Linked DNA regions of Coturnix japonica. The protein of the gene in region 1 purifies or fractionates together with the protein of each later gene. This does not show direct contact. Links are inferred from orthologs where the notes say so. Each region holds a gene or a part of one and is shown in the gene's direction. Other genes may lie near its edges. The genes, in order: DNMBP and BIN3.

Evidence for each region.
Region 2: the proteins of DNMBP (region 1) and BIN3 purify together in Homo sapiens (co-immunoprecipitation; 5 studies listed by BioGRID and IntAct, counting the BioPlex papers as one, with this or other methods). This does not show direct contact. The link is inferred for Coturnix japonica from reciprocal best matches to the Homo sapiens genes DNMBP and BIN3.

The regions. Positions count from the first base shown.
Region 1 is NC_029521.1:19,219,200-19,229,706, forward strand, and holds the start of DNMBP (dynamin-binding protein), read left to right. Parts: upstream 1-905; 5' UTR 906-1,010; coding exon 1,011-1,212; intron 1,213-3,499; coding exon 3,500-3,622; intron 3,623-4,172; coding exon 4,173-6,071; intron 6,072-7,561; exon of another isoform or gene 7,562-7,781; coding exon of another isoform or gene 7,782-8,865; intron 8,866-10,507. UniProt on the Homo sapiens protein: Plays a critical role as a guanine nucleotide exchange factor (GEF) for CDC42 in several intracellular processes associated with the actin and microtubule cytoskeleton.
Region 2 is NC_029537.1:2,516,290-2,527,541, forward strand, and holds the start of BIN3 (bridging integrator 3), read left to right. Parts: upstream 1-4,876; 5' UTR 4,877-4,966; coding exon 4,967-4,974; intron 4,975-11,252. UniProt on the Homo sapiens protein: Involved in cytokinesis and septation where it has a role in the localization of F-actin.

The DNA.
Region 1 (10,507 bases):
GCTGGATATTGGGCTCTTTGTTCAGCCAGCACAATGCTGGCGATGGCAGGGCAGTCTGCGCCCCAAGGATCTCACATGCTCATAGTAGAGCAGCATAGGGATGCTGGGCTGGGAGTGGGGGTGTGGTGGTGGTAGAATGTGGGCATGGCTGGGGTAGGAGGGATGTGGTTCTGCTGAGCACAGACCCTCTTTGTTCCCAAGAGGTGAGTCGGACTGGATAAACACGGCAGTCCTGTCAGCAGAAAGCATTTCCCTGGCTGGATCCCTTGCTGGCACTCCTGGTGGAAGTTTGCCATACCTCCATAGCAAGGCTGTGTTTCTGCTGTTTGCAAGTGTTCCTGACTCACCAGGGCTCAGGTGGACCATACAGGGCTGTCTGTTCATGGTGTGCCTTGCTGTGTTGTCACCCTGGTGCAGGAGGACAGCAGCAGGGTCCTGGCTCAGCAGCTGCTTTAAAGGAAGGGGCAGACTTTCTGGGTGTAGGACATGTCCCTCAGTTCTTCTGTGAGGAGAGAATTTCAGCCTTGTTCAGGGCTTCACAGCAGGCCTTGCATTCTTCATTGGCTGCGGCTCCAGGGACAGGAGCTCAGGCAAGCAGAATACGTGGGAAGGGGTTGCATTTGCCCAGCCTTCCAGAAGGGACTGGGCAAGCAGTGATGTCTGCTGCCTGCTCACAGAGGCCCCAGCAGGCTCCGGGTCTGCCCTGGCGTCAGGGAAGCTTGGAGCTTCCTCCTCTCCGCACTTCCTTCCTGATGAGAATTCAGTCCCAGATTTTCTTGCGGTTTCTCTCCCTGGTACAGCACAAACAAGTCCCAGCGGAGGTAGCCACAAAGGCTGCACAAGTCAGGTTGGACTACTGGAAAACACCACTCCTGTGGCAGCAAGGTCTGAGGCACAAGGAGGGGTTTTGTGAGCTCGGAACAAGACTTCCTCATAGTATCCCTGTCTCTTATGCTTGAGAAGGTCTTCCCTTTCTGAAATGTGGTAATTTCAGGTGTTTCTTGCTGCTAATGAACTTCCCACTGTGTCTCAGCCATAGGTCCCGATCTGCCTGCAGACCCCACGCAATGGAAGCTGGCTCTGTGGTACGAGCAGTCTTTGATTTCTGTCCCAGCGTTTCTGAGGAGCTGCCCCTCTTTGTGGGAGATGTCATCGAGGTGCTGGATGTGGTGGATGAGTTCTGGCTGCTTGGCAAAAAGGAAGGCGTCACAGGTAAGAGCTGGAGGTGTCCATACCTAGATTTGTAGGTGCTCAGGGCATCTTCCCTGGCCTTCACTCTGCCAGTGGAACATGCATTTTACTAAATCTTTTGCTGGACTTCAGTTGGGACTGAGGATGCGGGTTCCCTGCCACCAATCTCCTGCAAGCTGCACCTCTAAAGTTCAGACAGCTCAGTTGTTTTTTGAGAGGTCAGTGTTGTGTCACTCCTCAAGGCGGGAGCTTCATAACACTAGGTGCTAGCTGCATCCTCTATGGTGGGACAGCCCATTTCCTGGCTAGTTTATGTGCTGACCTGCTGTGGCACTGGAAGGGGAGAGGAAACAGATGCACTGAGAATGGAAATGCTAAGTGACCTTGTCAGGTCAAGTCAGTGGGAGATTCCGTGTCCCCCTTGGAACCCTCTGACTCAGTCCTGCTTCCTCCTTTCTGCTTTAAAACACTTTCCCAAGCAAGCTGCCATCAATACCTGGGCGCCTTAAGTAGTGTGCAAGTCTGTTAAACTTGGGGTAAGTGTGAGAAACTTTTGAAGCAGCAAAATGCTCTTAGTGAAACACTAAAAGTCTCATCCTGTTTTATGCAGCCCTTTCTCATCTTCATACTGATGTTGAGAAGACACGTGAGCTCTCAGCAAGATGAAAACCAGGCCACTTCAAAGCATAAGCCCCACTCCTTGCTCAGCATGAGAGGAGTGCTGCACTTCCAGGCCTGGCTGTGGAGATGGGGCTGCCTTGCAGCAGCAGTCTGGGCTCTGCTGCCAGCTGTGGGCTGTCAGGCGCCTGTCTCTGTGTAAAACAAAGATGGACAGGAGCAAAGGTGGAGAGGAGGGATTTTCTCCTGTGCTCCATTTAGCTGATAAATGGCATTAAATGAGTGCATGCCTAATCCTGCTGCTGCTGAAGTTACGGGGTACAAATTACTTATGCAGAAATCACCAGCAGCTACTTCACCACTGTTATTTCTCCCGGTGTAACTGATGCACTCATTCTCAAGAAGATGAAGTTATGAAGGAACAACAAACAGATGTATATCGTAGCTCAAAGATAAAGAAACACACTGAAGTCAAACAGCGTGTTTTTAGTGACCTTTAACTCAAACTCCTTTTGCATTCCCGCTTTTCCTTGGAACAGCTGTTGTAGTTTTCTGCCCAGTTTTCTAAGCTAAAGTTTCAGGGGATTGAAAAAGCACTTTTTAGTAGAAGCTGTGGCAGTGCTGCAGCCTACCAATAATAATACTTAATGCTCTATGGGGAATAATTAGTGTAGCTCCATTATTTCCTTCCTAACACTCTTAGGTTGTTTCCATGTACAGAGCAGGAAACTGGCATGGAAAAAAAGAGGAGTTGGTTAAAACTGTAAAGGAAGCCACTGAAACTGGAAGCCTGTGGGCTGTTGGTTCCACCTCAGGTTAATGACAGCAGGTGGGAAACTGCCTAGTCCCAGTTGAAAGTACTGAATGCCTTCAATATGATGTCTCCAAGTTTTTGTAGAGAATGTAAACATCATATTGAGTGGACATCACGAGTGAATGCTGGAAGTGCTGCTGGCCCATATTCCATCATTTCTCTCTGCAACAGATTGTAAAAGATTGCAGTGACATTTGTAGTGGGCTTTGCAGTGGGCTCTGCTATATCCAGTGATCCTGGGACTGACATCAGTAGCTGGGTAAGGTCTTAAAATGGCCAACAAGCGTGCGTAGCTTTGCCTGCTCAGAATAGCTGGGCATCCAGCAGTGGGTGCCATGGTGAAATACCTGCATGAGGTGGTAAAATGGGGAAGGTCCCTGCAGCCTTAGCAGTGCTGCAGCTGTGGCAGTGCCTCTGGATCACAGACCTGGCCTTCCCAAGTTTGGTATCATGACTTCAGTGCTGAGGCTGTGCTGGGGCCAAGCCTTACAGAGCAGGAAGCACAAGGTAGATATGCCCTGTCAGAAGACACTGGTCTTGTGGTCTAGCACTACTGGATCCCAGTCCTTGTCATGGCAGTGATTGGTGAATTGAGCAGAGGAAGAGGAGAAAACCTGGTATGTCTGTTCCCAGGAACTCAGTGTTGATAGTATTGGTTGCCTGGAGCGAGCCAAAGACATAATGATTTTTGTTCTGTTAGTATTTAAATCCGCAGAAATTTCCTCTTCCTCCACGCTGCCGATGTTCCCTGGGTAGCTATGGATGCAGCATTTTCCTTTAGCAAGAGAAGTAGATTCCAGGGTCTGGAAGGAGGGTGGAGGGAGTTGTGGTGGGCTACAGGAAGGACTCATTGCTGACAGCTGCTTCTCATTTCAGGGCAGTTTCCTAGCAGCTTTGTGGAACTGGTGGATATTCCCCTTCTGAAGCAGGGAGAGAAGCTGTTTGTTTGTACCAGTGACTTCACATCTCAAGAGCCAGGGAGCTTGTCATTGCAGAGAGGTAATCCCTGTCCTCTTCCTTTGCTTTGCATCTCATAGACACCTTCCCTTCTTCTAGAAGCATGGGGTGAGCCTAGTTGCAGCATCCTGCCTAGAGCGGCAGAGAAAAATTTTTCGATTCCCCACAGCATGTGAACCTTTGTGTTCCTGCCACCTCTCAATACCAATTTCTTATTTCTTATTTCTTACCCTTGAAACTCCAAATGCTAGAGTTGTGTGATTACAGTAGACTTACAGCTGCCATTTAATTGCACTCCCATCCCTAAATCCTAGACATGTGTTTGAGAGGGGGTGGGAGGGAATCAATCTGTAAAGCTACTTGACTGTTAGAAACTCATTTCAAACTGTGAATCTTAGTTATGTGTGTGCATGAGACTGCTGATGCTTCATGCCTCACCTCCAGTCTGTGCTCTTGTGCACCCCCAGAAAACTGCACTTCATGTGGAGTGCCAGACCTTACCCACAGCCAGTAAGGCCACAGGAAGGCAGGAACAAGAGGTGAGAAGCAATCAGGAGGGCAGTTTTGAACTGGTATGTCTCATTCCCTACAGGAGACTTGGTGATCCTGAGTGGTCCTCTGGCCTCCAGCTGGCTCCAAGGCAGAAGCAGCTGTGGTTCCAAGGGCTTTTTCCCTTCATCATGTGTGAGGGAGTTGCACCTTACAGTTCGGAGCTGTCAGTTCTCCCACAGCTCTCTCCTGGAGGTACCTGCCTACTCACTGGGCCAAGCCAGGGCCTTGATGGGTCTTTCTGCTCAGCTGGAGGAGGAGTTGGACTTCAGAGAAGGGGATGTGATCAACATCGTTGGCATACCAGAGCCTGGTTGGTTTGAGGGGGAGCTCCAAGGCCGCAGGGGCATTTTCCCAGAAGGTTTTGTGGAGCTGCTTACTCCTCTGAGAGCAGCAGGAACTTCAGTGGATCAAGAGCCTGCAGGGCGTTGTGACACCAATGGGACAGTGCCTACCAAGCAGGAGGAAGATGGCAGAGAGAATGGAGGGCAGGAGCCAGGGAGCACCTATGGTGTTGCCTTGTACCAGTTCCAAGCTTTGGAGTCTGAGGAACTGGATTTTGATGTGGGTGACAGGATTCGGATTGTGGGCATTCTGGAGGATGGCTGGCTAGAGGGGGAACTGAGGGGGAAACGTGGTATCTTCCCACACAGATTTGTGAGACTGGAGGCTTCTGACCTTTACAGGGAAAAGGTGGGTGCTGGTGATCCCCTGGCTGGAGGCAGCTGTGAGGTGATTATCCATCAAGACTTAGAGAGCACCTGTTCCAGAGTTCTCCCTTTGCTGGAAAAAGATAGCTGGGACAAGGAGGATGGCTTGGTTGCACACCCTGAGCCTGACACTGTTGTGTCTCACATGGCAGGGAGATCTGAGGCTCCTTTGAGCACTGACTTGAGGCAGTGTCAGGCCTTTCCTGATGCAGGGCTCCAGGAATTACATCCTGGAACCACAGCAGATTCCCTCCCTTTTGAATGCACAAAGACAGTCAATGGCCTTCTCCACTCTACTCAGCTGCCTCCGCAGCATAGCAGTGAGCCAGGCCAAGCAGGTGTATTGGAACCTCCAGCCCTGCCTGAGCGTGATGGCAGCAGACCCACCATGCCCTCACAGACTCCCTGCTCCCCACCAGACATTTGTGGAAGCCAGGCCATTCCTCCTCCTAGCAGCTGGGCAGCATCAGAGCCCCAGGAGAAGCAGAGCAGCATCCAGGACCTGGATGGTTGGGTGGATGACCAGCAGAAGTCCAAACCATGTTCTTCTGGCTGGGGAGGTGTCCACATGGGTCTGGATACACGGGCTGGGAGCTGGAGCGAGTGCTCCTCACTGGCAGCACAGGGGCACAGTGGCACAGACCTTGACTCAAAACTGACAGAGCAACTGGTGCAGTTTGAGAAGAGTCTGTCGAGTACCAGTGCTGAGCAGGACAAGGTCTCTCGTCACTTCTCTATCTTGGACTATAGCTCTGAGAATGACATTGTTCGTGGGTCTCCCAAGTGTGCCCCCCTTGCCAAGCTGCCAGAAAGGAGGAAGGCCCTAAGACCACCCCCTCCTCGGCCCAGCACCCTTGCAACAACTCCCATGCCCAAAGGCCGGTCTCTGTCATTCTCGGTGAAGCCCTCCCGGCCCGCTCCCCGGCCTCCGTCAAGCACTCAGAGAAGGAGCGTGGTCCCTCCACAGCTGCAACCCAATGTAGCAGAGCAGCATGCAGAGGAAAGCCGTGAGGATGCAACACAGACAGGATCAGCTTCTCCCTGCTCCATCTTGCTGATGAGGATTGGAGAGCTGGAGCGAGACCTGGAGGCTTACAGGAAGACCCGCACTGAGCTCACCTTGCTGCTGGAGGAGCAGCAGGATGAGCTGGTGAGAGCAGAGACCCTGGAGAACCTTGATTTCTGTGACTCCAACATTGAGAGCCTCAGTGCAGAGCTGCAGGAGCTGAGAGGTGAGTACAGCAGCATGGAACAGAGGTTCTTTGGGACAACTGTCCCCTCCAGGTACAGGCACCACTTGAGCCAGTCTTTAATTCTTGATTTGGGTCATTTTTGTTAATGCTGTGGTGCTGCAAATTGTCATGATTTGGCTTTATTCTAGGAGAAGAGAGTTGTCTGGTTTATATGGGCACATCTGGGCTCTGAAGACCCATATGATATTGAGATCAGTGCTGTTAACTATGTTATACTTGGTAATACAATAGACAAAGTGGAAGCAGGATCACATACATCTCCCACAGTCCCTTTTCCCCACTTATCCAAGGAGCTCTTACAGTGTGCTTCTGTTCCTAAAACCCACGATGTGCAGGAAATGTGGGCACTGCATGCGGGAGGTGGAGTGAAATGCCAGCTCCTGCCTCAGAATTACTCATTCTGACTTCATTGCCTCCAGCCTCCCACCACTTAATCAACACCGTGGAGTCCAGGAGCTCTGATGCAGAGCACGTGGGAATGAAGGGTGATATCAGTGCACAGGGTGACCTGCAGCCTCCGCATCAGTGGAGTGCAAGAGGGATGCTTAGAAGATACAAGGTTTGAAGCTAGGAAAAGGCAAATCTAGGGAAAATTTCTGGGAAATTTTCTGGTGGGGTGGATCATTCTGGGAAATGTTTCCTCTGTCCCATTGCTTCCTGACAGAGGGAGGTCACGCTGAACCCATGCTCTGTTAGTTATCTGAACTGGAAGTTTTAGGCAGGAACTAATGTTCTGGCAGGGACATCTTGCCCATTGATTTGTAGTCCCAGAGGATTTTTCACCCCCTCAAGAGACCCGAGGGTTTGGAATTAGCTTTTCTGATCCTATAGTAAATACTTGCCCTACCTAAGGGCACAGAGTAGGGCTGGAGTAACATTAGGAGGAACCCAACTCCTCTGCGTATCAAAGAAGAAGCAGAAAGTGTGTGTTTTTCTAAAACATGTTTAAAATCTGCAGGTTCCTTCTTGGGCATGTCTTGCATGTACACTGGAGGTTGTGCTAAAGGCCAGATGAGCGCAGGATTTGTTTTCATCCTCTTGCACTTGGAGCAGGAGGCTCTGCCCCAGTGCTGCTTGCCTCCTGCTCTTCCCAGGGGCTGCGGGTGAGGGCTGGAAGAAGGATGGCTCTGCACCAGGTTAGAAGCGAAGCCTGGGGGTTCGGTTTCTCTCAGGATGCATGGAGCAGAGCCCAGCCTCTGCTACGCTACGGTGTTCAGGCTGCATGCTGCCTGCTGGAACTGGCAGGAGTGTGGAGGCAAGGGAAGGAGATCTGGTACGTGCTATCTGCTCTGTGGTTCCCCAGTCTCACATGCACCTTTTCCTTCCCTGGGGATGTTGGTCTTAAGCCATGGCCTCCTCGTGCCCCACTGCTCTCCTTTTCCCTGCCTCCTAGTGGCCCATGGGGAGGCTGCGGGCTCTCCCAAAGCAGTGCAGCCGGTTTGGCCGGTGGGAGTCTGCTTCTAACTGGTTACTGATTAGCTTGGGCAGCAGGTGGAGGAGGCTGGGGCTGGAGGCCATTGGGCACGCGCCTCTTCCTACCTTTGCTGGCTGGTTTCAGGAAGTGCTGCCTGCGTTGAATTGCGTTGCGTTGTACCTGGGAAGGAAGCGTCAGAGCAGAGAGAGAAGAGGTGTCAGCCCGGGTGTGGGCTCAAGGAGCGGGAGCAAAGGGAGCTGCAACCCAGCAGGACGATGTGCTCTTATCCTGGGACAGAACATGGCACAGAGAAACCAAGGCAGGAGCCCCGGCTCCTCAGCTGGGAGTATGAAGATTGTGCTGCGAGGAGAGGGGACGTCATGGGCCTGCACAGTGAGAGTCGCTGGAACGAGAGACCCAGGGTGAAGAGGGGAGCAGACAGAGGCTGGGACAGTGACTGGAGAGGGGAGGGCATCTCTGTGGATGGATGGAGCGGGAACGGAGACTGTGAAGGCTTTTGGAAGGCGGATAACCAGTACACGGACTATAGGAGAGCAGACAATGTTTGGAAAGGCAAAATCCCATTTACAAAGGACAGAAATTGTGGAGTGAATGAGAGGGAGGGTGTTCAATACAGAGGCTGTAATCCCAAGGAGGGAGAAGGGCAGTACAGAGGAGACAGAGGGCCTGGGGAGGGTAGGGAGGGGGGAAGGCGGTACAGAGAGGACAGAGGCCCTGGAGAGTACAGGGAAGGCAGAAGGTGTCATAAGGATGGAGATCCTAGGGACTATAGTAGGGATGGGAGATACTGTGGGGAAAGGGAAAGGCAGTGTAGGCAGGACAGGGGATATAGGGAAGGGGAAAGGCAGTATAGAGAAGACGGAGGTTATCAAGTAGGCAGGGAAAGAAAAAAGTGGCATAGAGAGGCTGGAGGCTGTGAGGAATTTAGAGAGCAGGAAAGGCAGTATGTAAACATCAGGGATCTGGAGGATCATGGAGATTCTGAACAGCACAGGCAGCTGAAAGGTGTTGCCATGGACTGCAGTGATCCGTCTGGAGGTCATGGAGCTCACTTGTTGACATCCTGGTCCTCAGGAGACACCAGCAGCCTGGGGTCAAACACGTCCTGCAGACAGTCAGGGATGCAGGACATGGGCTGCAATGGCTGTGGGGAACCAGAACGAGCACAGCACTCAAGGGTCCGCACGGGCCGGCCAGACTGGAGTCACATCTGGGAGCAGGAGGCCAAGGAAGAGAGCAGGACAGGCTCTTCACTGCAGAGAAACAGTTTGTACAGGAGGACGGCTCCCAGCACCTTGCGGCGCTCAGAATTTGTACAGACCAGGAAGGAGAAACACGGTATGCAGAGAAATGCTTGGGAGGTGTCGGTGCGGTGGCCTTGGGCATTCCTTAACCCTGCCCTCGTCCTGAGGCAGCAGGGTTCCTGAGGAAATCCTGGGGATGCACACAACTTTGTGCATTTAGGTCTCTCGTTGCACAGTGGTGGGGTCTGGGTAGGATGAGTGAAGGAGACCTTTGTGTTGGGCAGATGTGTGTCCGAGGACCTGTTTGCAGTTGTACCCTTTCTGCCAGCATTTGTCTCAGGTACCCATGCATGTGCTGCCCTTGGAGGAGGCTGGAGTGCAGAGTACAGCACAGCAGTGCAGCAAACACCCAGGCAGCAGGGCTGCAGGCCGTGGCTGGCTATCAGCTTACAGTGAAATTTGTTCTCTCGAGGTATTTGATTCAGCAGACTCCAGAGGCTGCATTTCTGCACTGTGTTGGTAGGTGGGACTTTGCTCAGTCTCATCTCCAGGGCAAGGGAGTGGTTTTGTGGTGCCAGGATGATCAAAGGGCATCTGGGAAGCTAGGAGGGGCTAGGGGCAGAGCTTGGGGAGGCTCAGAATGGGGCAGGGGCAGCCTGCAGGAGCTGCATCTGAGGAAACAAGCAGATAACTCCCAGATGGGCCTGGGGAACTCTGCAGCATAGTGACAGTTCTTTGGTTAAAGCATCTCTGAGATAAGATTTGGATGTGTCTGCCCAGTGCTCTAAGCAGAGACCCCACCTGTTTGGTGGTGCTGGATACTCATCCTCACTCCAGAATGTTTTGCATGCTGATGTGTTGCTTTTCAGCTTTCAATTCCCAACCTTTATCTGCTAAATTGGAGCTTTTTAGTTGATGATATTTTTTTTTCCCTGTGTTAAACCTGTTGGTTTGAGTAATTCTATCTTGTTCAAAATACCTAAGCTTTGTTAGTGATGGGTATGCAGCATCCTTATTAGTGATCATACAGAATCGATGTTTGGTTCTCTACAGAACCACAGTGGTTTTTCCATTTACTTTGAAAATATTATGTCCGACCAACTCTAAACACAGTCCCTGGAGAATCTCATTGCAAGTGTCTTCTTTTCTAGATGTTGTCCCCAGGCAAGTTTCAAATGCTAATCTGCAAGGTCTTTCTTCTGTTTTTCAAATAGGAAGAGACAATATTTACCATATAATTCTGCCTTTTTCATCAAACTTATCAAGAATTCTACTCTCCCTCCTTACTAATGGGATTAGGTCATTGAAAAGCTTTCTCTTGTCCGGAGTGGAAATGAAATTGGATTATAAAGTAGTACTTTTTTCCTTCATTTGAAACTAAAACTTCTTATTTCTGCCATGAATCATTTTTGAATATCTTCCTTCTCATTTTTCTGTCTTTTTCAGTTCCTGGTGTTTATTGTCTATTGTCTGTTTTTCTATATTCATTCATGTATCTGTTTACATTTGCTGATTTAGCTGAAGCACAGACCCATCGTTATTGTTCTCTTCCTTGATTGCATAACAGTGTTTGGATTATCTGCTTAAAATACCCTATTAATGACCTTTCATTTTCCATTATTTATTTATTTATTATGCTGGCATTTTTGCTCACAATCATTTTTATTGGTGGTCTGCTCAGTGGTGTTGAAGCGGATGGTAGAGAAGTACAGCCAGGAGGCATGTGGATCCCATCT
Region 2 (11,252 bases), on another chromosome or scaffold:
ACACAACACAGCTCAATGCAAAACACACACAGCACAGCAACACAACGCAACACAGCAACACAACACAATGCAACACAAAACACAACACAACACAATGCAAAACACACACAGCACAGCAACACAACGCAACGCAGCAACACAACACAATGCAACACAACAGCACAACGCGAAACAACGCAACACACACAACACGACACACAACACAACACGATGCACAACACAACACAATGCACAACACACACAACACAGCAACACAACACACAACACAACACAACGCACAACACACGACACAATGCAACACACACAACATACAACGCAACACAACACACAACACAGAATGCACAACACACAACACACAACACAATGCAACACACACAACATACAACGCAACACAACACACAACACAACACAGAATGCACAACACACACAGCACAGCAACACAACACAACACATGACACACAATGCAACACAACACAACAGAATGCACAACACACACAATGCAGCACAGCAACACAACACAACGCACAACACACACAACACAGCAACACAACACACAACAGAACACAATGCACAACACAGAACACAACGCAACACAACGCACAACACACAGCACAGCAACACAACACAACACAAAACACAACGACACAACGCAACACAACACACAACACAACAGAATGCACAATGCAGCACAGCAACACAACACAACACAACAGAATGCACAACACACAATGCAGCACAGCAACACAACACAACGCACAACACACAACGCAGCACGACACGACACACAACGCAACACACACAACACAACGCGCGCGAAAAAGGCAAAAAAAAAGGCAAAAAAAAATAAAGGGGGGAATGATATTTTTTGAGAGACTTTTGTATCAAAGTTGAGTACTTAGAGAAAAAAAAGAAAAAAAAAGGCAAAAAAAAACCTAAAAACATGCAAAAAAAATAACCAAAAAGAAACAAAAAAGGGCCGCTCCAGATGTAATATATTTTGTGGATGTTTTTATTTCTTTATAGTACCTTATACTAAGGTTAAAACAGAAAAAAAAACATTAAAAAAGGAAAAAAAAAAAAGAAAAAAAATTGTAAAAAACAACCTCTTTCACCCCAACCCCCACATCCCCGAAATAATGAATAATAATAATTAATAATATTAATAATGATGATGATAATGAAACCCGGTATCGTGAGAAGGTGACGATTTTCACCCCCATTTCATGGCTCATCCCCGCTGTAACCATCCGCCGATGCCGTAAATATATCATTGTGTTTGGCTGCCTCCCGGCCCTTCTTTGAGCACCACTCGAGGGCAGGGATGGGGATTTGGGGAGGGGGCTTCCCTTCTTTGGTGTGTGGTTTGGTTGGAAGGGTCCCCATTGTGATGGGGTCGGTTGGGTTGAGAGACCCTATGGGGTTAGTTGGGTTGAGAGACCCTATGGGGTTGGTTCAGTTGAGCGACCCTATGGGGTCGGTTGGGTTGAGCAGCCCTATGGGGTTGGTTGGGTTGAGCAGCCCTATGGGGTTGATTGGGTTGAGAGACCCTATGGGGTTGGTTGGGTTGAGCAGCCCTATGGGGTCGGTTGGGTTGAGAGACCCTATGGGGTTGGTTGAGTTGAGCAGCCCTATGGGGTCAGTTGGGTTGAGCAGCCCTATCAGGTTGGTTGGGTTGAGAGACCCTATGGGGTCGGTTCAGTTGAGCGACTCTATGGGGCTGGTTGGGTTGAGAGACCCTATGGGGTCGGTTGGGTTGAGCAGCCCTATGGGGTTGGTTGGGTTGAGCAGCCCTATGGGGTTGGTTGGGTTGAGAGACCCTATGGGGTTGGTTCAGTTGAGCGACCCTATGGGGCTGGTTGGGTTGAGAGACCCTATGGGGTCGGTTGGGTTGAGCAGCCCTATTGGGTTGGTTGGGTTGAGTGACCCTATGGGGTCTGTTGGGTTGAGCAGCCCTATCAGGTTGATTGGGTTGAGAGACCCTATGGGGTTGGTTCAGTTGAGCGACCCTATGGGGCTGGTTGGGTTGAGAGACCCTATGGGGTTGGTTGGGTTGAGCGTCCCTATTGTGTTGGTTGGGTTGAGCAGCCCTATGGGGTTGGTTCGATTGAGAGACCCTATGGGGTTGGTTGGGTTGAGCGACCCTATGAAGCTGGCATTGAGGGGCTGGTTGGGTGGCTCGGCCCCATAGTTCGGCCCCACAACCTCCATGCCCTGCAGCGTTGGGTTTTTCCACCTCTGGCCCCACAGGGGATTTATTAAGGCTCAGAGGTGGCGTCCGATGGCACAAAGAGGATCTGGTGGTTCAGCCCTTAATGCGGCGGTGCCGCAGGTGTTGGTTAGAAGGATTTCTGCTCAGGTTATAAATAACGGGGATTTCGGGGCCGGCGCTCGGAGCCGCGTCGGGGCGAGGAGGGGTGATGGGTAAATCCCACAGCTGAGCCCACGCGTGGCCACAACGCTCTGCTTCCCATCCTTGGGGTGATCCATCCTTCCCAATGGGGGGCAGAGGTTGGGGCTGGTGCTGGTGCTTTGGGGTCAAGCAATGATGGGCAATGGGGTCGCCGGGTGGACGCCAATGGGGCACCGTTGTGTTGGGGCACCATTGGGGTCATAACGGTGACATCCCAAGCAACGTTGGGGTGATCCATCCTTCCCTATGGGGAACAGAGGCTGGGGCTGGTGCTATGGGGTCAAGCAATGGTGAGCAATGGGGATGCCGGGTGGACACCATTGGGTTGGGGCACCATTGGGGTCATAATGGTGACAGCCCAACCAATTTTGGGGTGATCCGTCCTTCCCTATGGGGAGCAGAGGTTGGGGCCATTGCTGGTGCTATGGGGTCAAGCAATGATGGGCAATGGGGACGCCAGGTGGGCACTATTGGGTTGGGGCACCACTGGGGTCATAACGATGACATCCCAACCAATCCCGCTGTGGGTCGGATCCCACTCCCCATAGGGCCATCACCCTACAGCAGGGCCACCACCCCATTACCACCCCATCCACAATGCCATCCCCCTTCCCCATCCCCATCCCCCACAAGGCATTTGGACCCGATATCCCCATCAATTCCCTTCCAACCCAATGACCCAACGACCCTCTATGCCCCATATCTTCCTCCCCCCACCCCATATCCCTCTCCCCCCATCCCACGTCCCCTCTCCCCATACCCGTGGGCACAATCCGGCGCTCACCTCCCTCGATCCCTCAGCCCTAATCCCGTGTCCTCACCGGTGTGTGTAACACCTTCTCAATTTAGCAGCATCAGCTGCGACGTTAATTAACGCTCTGTTTACCTGCTGCTAATTAATGAACCCAGCCCTGGCACCGCTAATAACCCACGACCAGCCATCGCCCAATTTCATGTTGTTTAGCCCCAAAGCCAACGCTCTGTCCCTATGGGGAACCCAAAACTCCATCCCTATGGGGGACCCAAAACTCCATCCCTATGGGGAACCCCAATACTCCGTCCCTATGGGGAACCCAACATGTGGGATATGGGATATGGGATATGGGATATGGGATGTGGGATGTGGGATGTGGGATATGGGATATGGGATATGGGATATGGGATATGGAATATGGGATGTGGGATGTGGGATGTGGGATATGGGATATGGGATGTGGGATATGAGATATGGGATATGGGATATGGGATATGGGATGTGGGATATGAGATATAGGATATGGGATATGGAATATGGGATGTGGGATGTGGGATGTGGGATATGGGATATGGGATGTGGGATATGGGATGTGGGATATGGGATGTGGGATGTGGGATATGGGATATGGGATATGGGATATAGGATATGGGATATAGAATATGGGATATGGGATGTGGGATATGGGGTATGGGATATAGGATATGGGATGTGGGATATGGGATATGGGATATGGGATATGGGATATGGGATATGGGATATGGGATATGGGATATGGGATATGGGATATGGGATATAGGATATGGGATATAGAATATGGGATATGGGATGTGGGATATGGGATATGGGGTATGGGATATAGGATATGGGATGTGGGATATGGGATGTGGGATATGGGATATGGGATGTGGGATATGGGATATGGGATGTGGGATATGGGATATGGGATATGGGATATGGGATGTGGGATGTGGGATATGGGATATGGGATATGGGATGTGGGATGTGGGATATGGGATATGGGATGTGGGATATGGGATATAGGATATGGGATATGGGATATGGGATATGGAATATGGGATGTGGGATATGGGATATGGGATGTGGGATGTGGGATGTGGGATGTGGGATATGGGATGTGGGATATGGGAATGTGGATATTGCGGATGTCGCGATATGGGATATGGGATGTGGGATGAGGGGGGGGCGGCGGGGGCGGGGGGGGGGCGCGGGGGGGGGGGGGGGGGAGGGGGGGGGGGGGGGGCGGGGGGGGGGGGGGGGGCAGTGGGGGGGGGGGGAGGGGGTGGGGCAATATGGATATGGGTGTGGGGCCATATGCGGATGGGATATGGGATGTGGGATACTGGGGATACATGCGGATGCTGGGATGTTGGGATATGGATACTGGGATGTGGATATGGCGCATGGGGACTACTGGCATAACTGGATGTGCGCGATATGGGCATATGGGATGTGGGATATGGCGGACTGCGGCGGATACAGCGCTATGGGATTGGGATTAATGGGATTGGGATTGGGATTAAATGGGATTAATGGGATTGGGATTAATGGGATTGGGATCAATGGGATTGGGATGTGGGATATGGGATATGGGATATGGGATGTGGGATATGGGATATGGGATGTAGGATATGGGATATGGGATCCATGACGTCACCCGGCCTCACTCCATCCCGGCACACCAAGGGTTAACACCCCTCGCTCCGTGACGTCACCAAGGGGCCGGAAGAGGCGGCGATTGGCGGCAGCACTTCCGGGATCGGAGCTGGGCCGGGGGAACCATGAGCTGGTGAGTGGGGGGGGGAGAAACGGGACCGAACCGGGAACGAACCGGGACCGAACCGGGACCGAACCGGGACCGAACCGGGACCGAACCGGGAACGAACCGGGATCGAACCGGGAACGAACCGGGACAGAACCGGGACAGAACCGGGAACGAACCGGGACCGAACCGGGGATGAACCGGGAACGAACCGGGACCGAACCGGGGACGAACCGGGACTGAACCGGGGCTGTGGGCCGGGATGAACCCGGAGGGGCTCCAGGGGCGGTTCCTGAACACTGACCCTTATGGGGTCTGGACACTATAACCCTTATGGGATCTGAGCACTATAACCCTTATGGGGTCTGGACACTGACCCTAATGGGGTCTGGACATTAACCCTTATGGGGTCTGGACACTATAACCCTTATGGGGTCTGAGCACTAACCCCTGTGGGGTCCGGACACTGACACTGACCCTTATGGGGTCTGAGCACTATAACCCTTATGGGGTCTGGACACTGACCCTAATGGGGTCTGAGCACTATAACCCTTATGGGGTGTGAGCACTGACCCTTATGGGGTGTGAACATTAACCCTTTTGGGGTATGAACACTGACTCTTGTGGGGTCTGGACATTAACCCCTATGGGGTCTGAGCACTGACCCTTATGGGGTCTGAGCACTATAACCCTTATGGGGTCTGGACACTGACCCTTATGCAGTGTGAGCACTGACCCTTATAGGGTCTGAGCACCAACCCTAATGGGATCTGAACACTGACCCTTATGGGGTCTGAACACTATAACCCTTATGAGGTCTGAACACCGACCCTTATAGGGTCTGAGGCCCTTATGGGGGCTGTACTGCAGTGGGGTGGGTTTGGGGTCTATAGGGTGGGTTGGGGGAGGTATTTGGAGTCAGCAGCTGTGTGATGTATGGGGTGGGCACATAGGCCTTACAGTGATGTATGGGGTGGGTGTGGGGTGGGCAGATAGGCCTTATGGGGTCTATATATTTAGTAGGCACTTATGGACCATATGGGGTGGACTATAGGCTTTGTAGGGCCCACAGTGTGTGGGGTGGGCAGCTCTGGGCCCCACAATGTGTGGGGCAGGCCTTGTAGGGTGGGCAGGTACTGACCATATGGGGTTGGTGGCTGTATATCTATATAGGGTTGGCAGGTCGGTACCGTATGGGGTGTGTGGAGGCCCCACATCCTCCTGTGAGACCCTACAGCCACACAGCACCATATGGGGCTGCTCCATTGCAATAAGGCCAGGAGCTGCATTGGTGCTGCACCGTGGAGTCGTCTTGGGGCTGCATTGGTGCTGCAGCAGCATTGGAGCTGCCTTGGTGCTGACGCGTGGTGATGCTGCATTGGAGCTGCCTTGTTGCTGCTGCACAGAGCTGCCTTGGTGCTGATGCATGGAGCTGCATTGGTGCTGCAGCGTGGAGCTACCTTGATGCTGCTGCATGGAGCTGCATTGATACTCATGCATGGTGATGCTGATGCATTGAGCTGCCTTGGTGCTGATGCATGGAGCTGCTTTGATGCTGATGCATGGAGCTGCATTGATGCTGATGCATGGAGCTGCTTTGATGCTGACGCATGGTGATGCTGATGCATGGAGCTGCCTTGATGCTGCTGCATGGAGCTGCATCGATACTCATGCATGGTGATGCTGATGCATGGAGCTGCCTTGATGCTGCATGGAGCCGCCTTGGTGCTGATGCATGGTGATGCTGCAGCATGGGGCTGCCTTGATGCTGTGGCATGGAGCTGCATTGGTGCAGCATGGAGCTGCATTGGTGCTGCTGCATGGAACTGCCTTGATGCTGCTGCATGGTGATGCTGATGCATGGAGCTGCCTTGGTGCTGCAGCACGGAGCTGCCTTGATGCTGCTGCACGGTGATGCTGATGCATGGAGCTGCATTGGTGATGCAGCATGGAGCCGCATGCTGGCCGACTTGCAATGCACATGCCCCATGCTGCAAGATCCCTTTTGCTTTTGCAGCAGAGCAATAAGACGCTGCTGTGTGAAGGTTTGTGGCTGATCATGGTCCAGCTCCAAACCTCACGTCAGTCATTGAGCGCGTTGCAGCTCATGCGTCAGCATGGAGACACTGCATGGCTGCAGCTGAGTGTGAGCGACACAATCAGCCTCAGTGCAGCCTCAATGCTTGGCCCTCAGCCTGCTTCATTCAGATGAATGGCCCCATTGATGTGGGGCTGAGCTTTGGGGTTGGGTGACGCAGCGGATGCGATGCCCCGTCGTGCTGCGGACGTCAGAGGGGGATGCACCCAGCGTGGGTGCTCCATGCAGGGGGTGAGCTCTGTTACCCAATGGGTGCAGGGTCTGTTTGCTCTCTGTGTCTGCATCACCCCATTGAGGGGCGTCCCATTGCCTTTGGGGTCAGTTATAGGGCTGGATGTGCGTCCTTGGTTCACCCTCGCTGTGATGTGATATGGGATCTCCTCTGACTCGTGGCTCCTGTCTGGTCCTGGTGTTGTTCTTCTTCATCCTTTGCTTTCCCTCCTGTTCAAATAGGGCAGAACCCAACACGTTGCATCCTCAGCATCCTTCCCATTGCACATACAGGAGGCATTACAACCTGCAGGTGGATTAAAGCCCCGTGCAGCTCAGCAGGGCTGCATTTATGGGCTGTGCTCTCTTAGGGTTCAGCCTCTTTTAGAGGCAGGTTGAGGTTTCCTAAAGCTCCGTGGTTCCTTTGGATTATGGGGCTCAGGCAGCTGCTCTTGGTGCCCTCAGAGCCGTGTCAGCCCCATATGGTGCCCCATGCAGCTCCCCATGGATGGAGCAGCTCCCCATGGATGGAGCTGAGCGTGCTGAGCTTCCCATCCCAGCCAGCTCCTCATTCATGGCAGCCTGAAGGGCTCTTGAAGGCTCTTGGAAGCAATTAAGACCAAATCAGCTCATCAATAGAGTCCCTAATTCCTCCTCCTTTGGCTCCTGGGGATGGGTTCGGATCGGCACCGCTGCAACAGCTGCTGTTTGCTGGGAGAAAGAAGCAACGTGCAAAGCAAAGTGATGGTGGGGCAGCACGAAGCACGTGTCTGCTCACTGTGTTATTGATGGGGGAACCCTGAGGGGGCTCAGCCCTATGGCTGTGGGGTGGGGGGCTCTGAGTGGGGCTGTATGGGCACAAAGGGCTTCGTTCTCAGTCTTTGATTGGAACCCGTCCTTGTTATCCCATATAGTTTGGGATGGAGTTGAGTCGACTGTCCTGGGGAGGACAACGGGTTGGGGGTCTGGAGCCCAAACCTTGGGTCCTCCATAGTCAGTGTTCAATGGTTTATGGCCCCACCGTGGTCAGTGGGGCAGTGGGTTGTGGTCATTCCATGGTCATTGACTCGTGGTTCCTATATGATCAATGGCTCATGGGCCTTCCATAGTCAATGGACCTTGGTCAATAGCTCATGGTCCCTCAGTGGTCAGTAGGCCTTGGTCAGTGTCTTGTGGTCCTTCCATAATCAATGGCTCATGGTCCCTCAATGGTCAATGGGTCTTGGTCTATGGCTTGTGATCCCTCCATGGTCAATAGTCAATGGCTCATGGTTCTTCCTTGGCCAACAGGCCTTGGTCAATGGCTTTTGGTCCTTCCATGATCAATGGCTCACGGTCCCTCATTGGTCAGTGGGTCTTGGTCTGTGGCTTGTGGTTCCCCTATGGATAATAGTCAGTGACTTATGGTTCTTCCATGGTCAGTGGGCCTTGGTCAGTGGCTTGCGGTCCCGCCATGGCCATGGCATGGCCTCTATGGCATTGGTCAATGGCTCATGGTCCCTCAGTGGCTAATGGGCCTTGGTCTATGGCTCATGGTCTCTCAATGGTCAATGTACCTTGGTCAATGGCTTATGGTCTCTCAATGGTCAACGGGCCTTGGTCAGTGGCTCGTGGTCCCTCAATGGTCAATGGGCTTTGGTCTGTGGATCGTGGTCCCCCTGTGGTCAATAGCCAATGGCTTGTGGTCCCTCCATGATCAATAGTCAATGGTTCATGGTTCTTCCATGGCCAACAGGCCTTGGTCAATGGCTCATGGTCCTTCCATGGTCAATGGGCTTTGGTCTATGGCTGATGGTCCTTCCATGGTCAATGGGCCTTGGTCTATGGCTGATGGTCCTTCCATGGTCAATGGGCTTTGGTCTGTGGTTCATGGTCCCTCCATGGTAAATAGTCAATGGTTCATGGCTCTTCCATGGCCAACAGTCCTTGATCGGTGGCTTTTGGTCCTTCCATGATCAATGGCTCTTTGTCTCTCAATGGTCAATGGACCTTGGTCAATGGCTCATGGTCCCTCAATGGCTCATGGTCCCTCAATGGTCAATGGGTCTTGGTCAATGGCTTGTGGTCCCTCCATGGTCAATAGTCAATGGCTCATAGTTCTTCCTTGGCCAACAGGCCTTGGTCAATGGCTCATGGTCCCTCAATGGTCAATGGGCCTTGGTCTGTGGTTCATGGTCCCTCCATGGTCAATAGTCAATGGCTCATGGCTCTTCCATGGCCAACAGGCCTTGGTCAGTGGCCCATAGTTTTTCCATGATCAATGGCTCATGGTCTCTCAATGGTCAAGGGGCCTTGGTCTATGGCTCATGGTCCCTCCATGGTCAATAGCCAATGGCTCATAGTCCCTCTATAGTCTATCCAACGCTCCCATTCTCCCCGTCTCCCATCAAAACCAGAGGCTGGATGTGATTCCAGGTGTTGGTGCTGCTGGTTGGACCCATTGATCTCAGTGTTGTTCTCCATCCTTCACAACAGGACGAACCGAAGGGCTGCAGAGCGGCAGCTCCTCGATGGGGATTTCTCCATCATTATTTCTTTGTGCAGGTGGCAAAAAAGCGGCGTTGAAAAAGCAGAGCTGAGCCACAACCACGTTTCACGAGCGTGCTTAAAATGGGTATTTTTGTAGCATAGTCAGGGCCTAAAACAGCCTGTGCAGGATCCAGCTCACCCACGCGCCTGGCGTGAGTAATTGGCTTCTGATGGGTGAGTAAAACATCGGTATAGATTTGTTTCCATGCTCAGTTTGGGATGGGTGGGAGAAGCAGCTTCTGCCATGGGGCTGGATGTGCTCAGTGCCATGGGGTTGGGTTTGCTTGATCCCATAGGGTAGATCCCATAGGGGGGACCCAATAGGGGGGATCCCATAGGATGGATCCCGTACGGTGGATCCCATAGGATGGATCCCATAGGGTGGGTCCCATAGGGTAGATCCCATAAGGTGAATCCCATAGGGTGAATCCCATAATGGGGATCCTATAGGGTGGGTCCCATAGGGTGAATCCCATAATGGCGGTCCTATAGGGTGGATCCCATAGGGGGGGATCCCATAGGATGGATCCCATAGGGTGGGTCCCATAGGTAGGATCCCATAGGGTAGATCCCATAGGGTGAATCCCAATAGGGGGGATCCCATAGGATGCACTGTGGTTGGTGGCCATAGAGCCCACCTGCAGGCTCCATCCATAGGGTAGATCCCATAGGACGGATCCCATAGGGTAGATCCCATAGGGGGGATCCCAATAGGGGGGATCCCATAGGGTAGATCCCATAGGGGGGATCCCATAGGATGGATCCCATTGGGTGGATCCCATAGGGGGGATCCCATAATGGGGATCCTATAGGGTGGATCCCATAGGGTAGATCCCATAGGGGGGATCCCATAGGATGCACTGTGGTTGGTGGCCATAGAGCCCACCTGCAGGCTCCATCCGTAGGGTGGATCCCATAGGATGGATCCCTTAGGATGGATCCCATAGGGTGGGTCCCATAGGGGGGATCCCATAGGATGGATCCCATTGGGTGGATCCCATAGGGAGGATCCCATAGGGTAGATCCCATAGGGGGGATCCCATAATGGGGATCCTGTAGGGTGGGTCCCATAGGGTGGATCCCATAGGGGGCATCCCATCAGATGGATCCCATCGGATGGATCCCATTGGGTGGATCCCATAGGGGGGATCCCATAAGGTGAATCCCATAATGGGGATCCTATAGGGTGGATCCCATAGGGGGGATCCCATAGGGTAGATCCCATAGAGTGAATCCCATAGGATGCACCATGGGATGGTGGCCATAGAACCCACCTGCAGGCTCCATCCATAGGGTGGATCCCATAGGATGGATCCTATAGGGCGGATCCCATAGGATGGATCCCATAGGGCGGATCCCATAGGGTGGATCCCATAGGGCGGATCCCATAGGGTGGATCCCATAGGGTGGATCCCATAGGATGCACTGTAGGATGGTGGCCATAGAGCCCCCCTGCAGGCTCCATCCA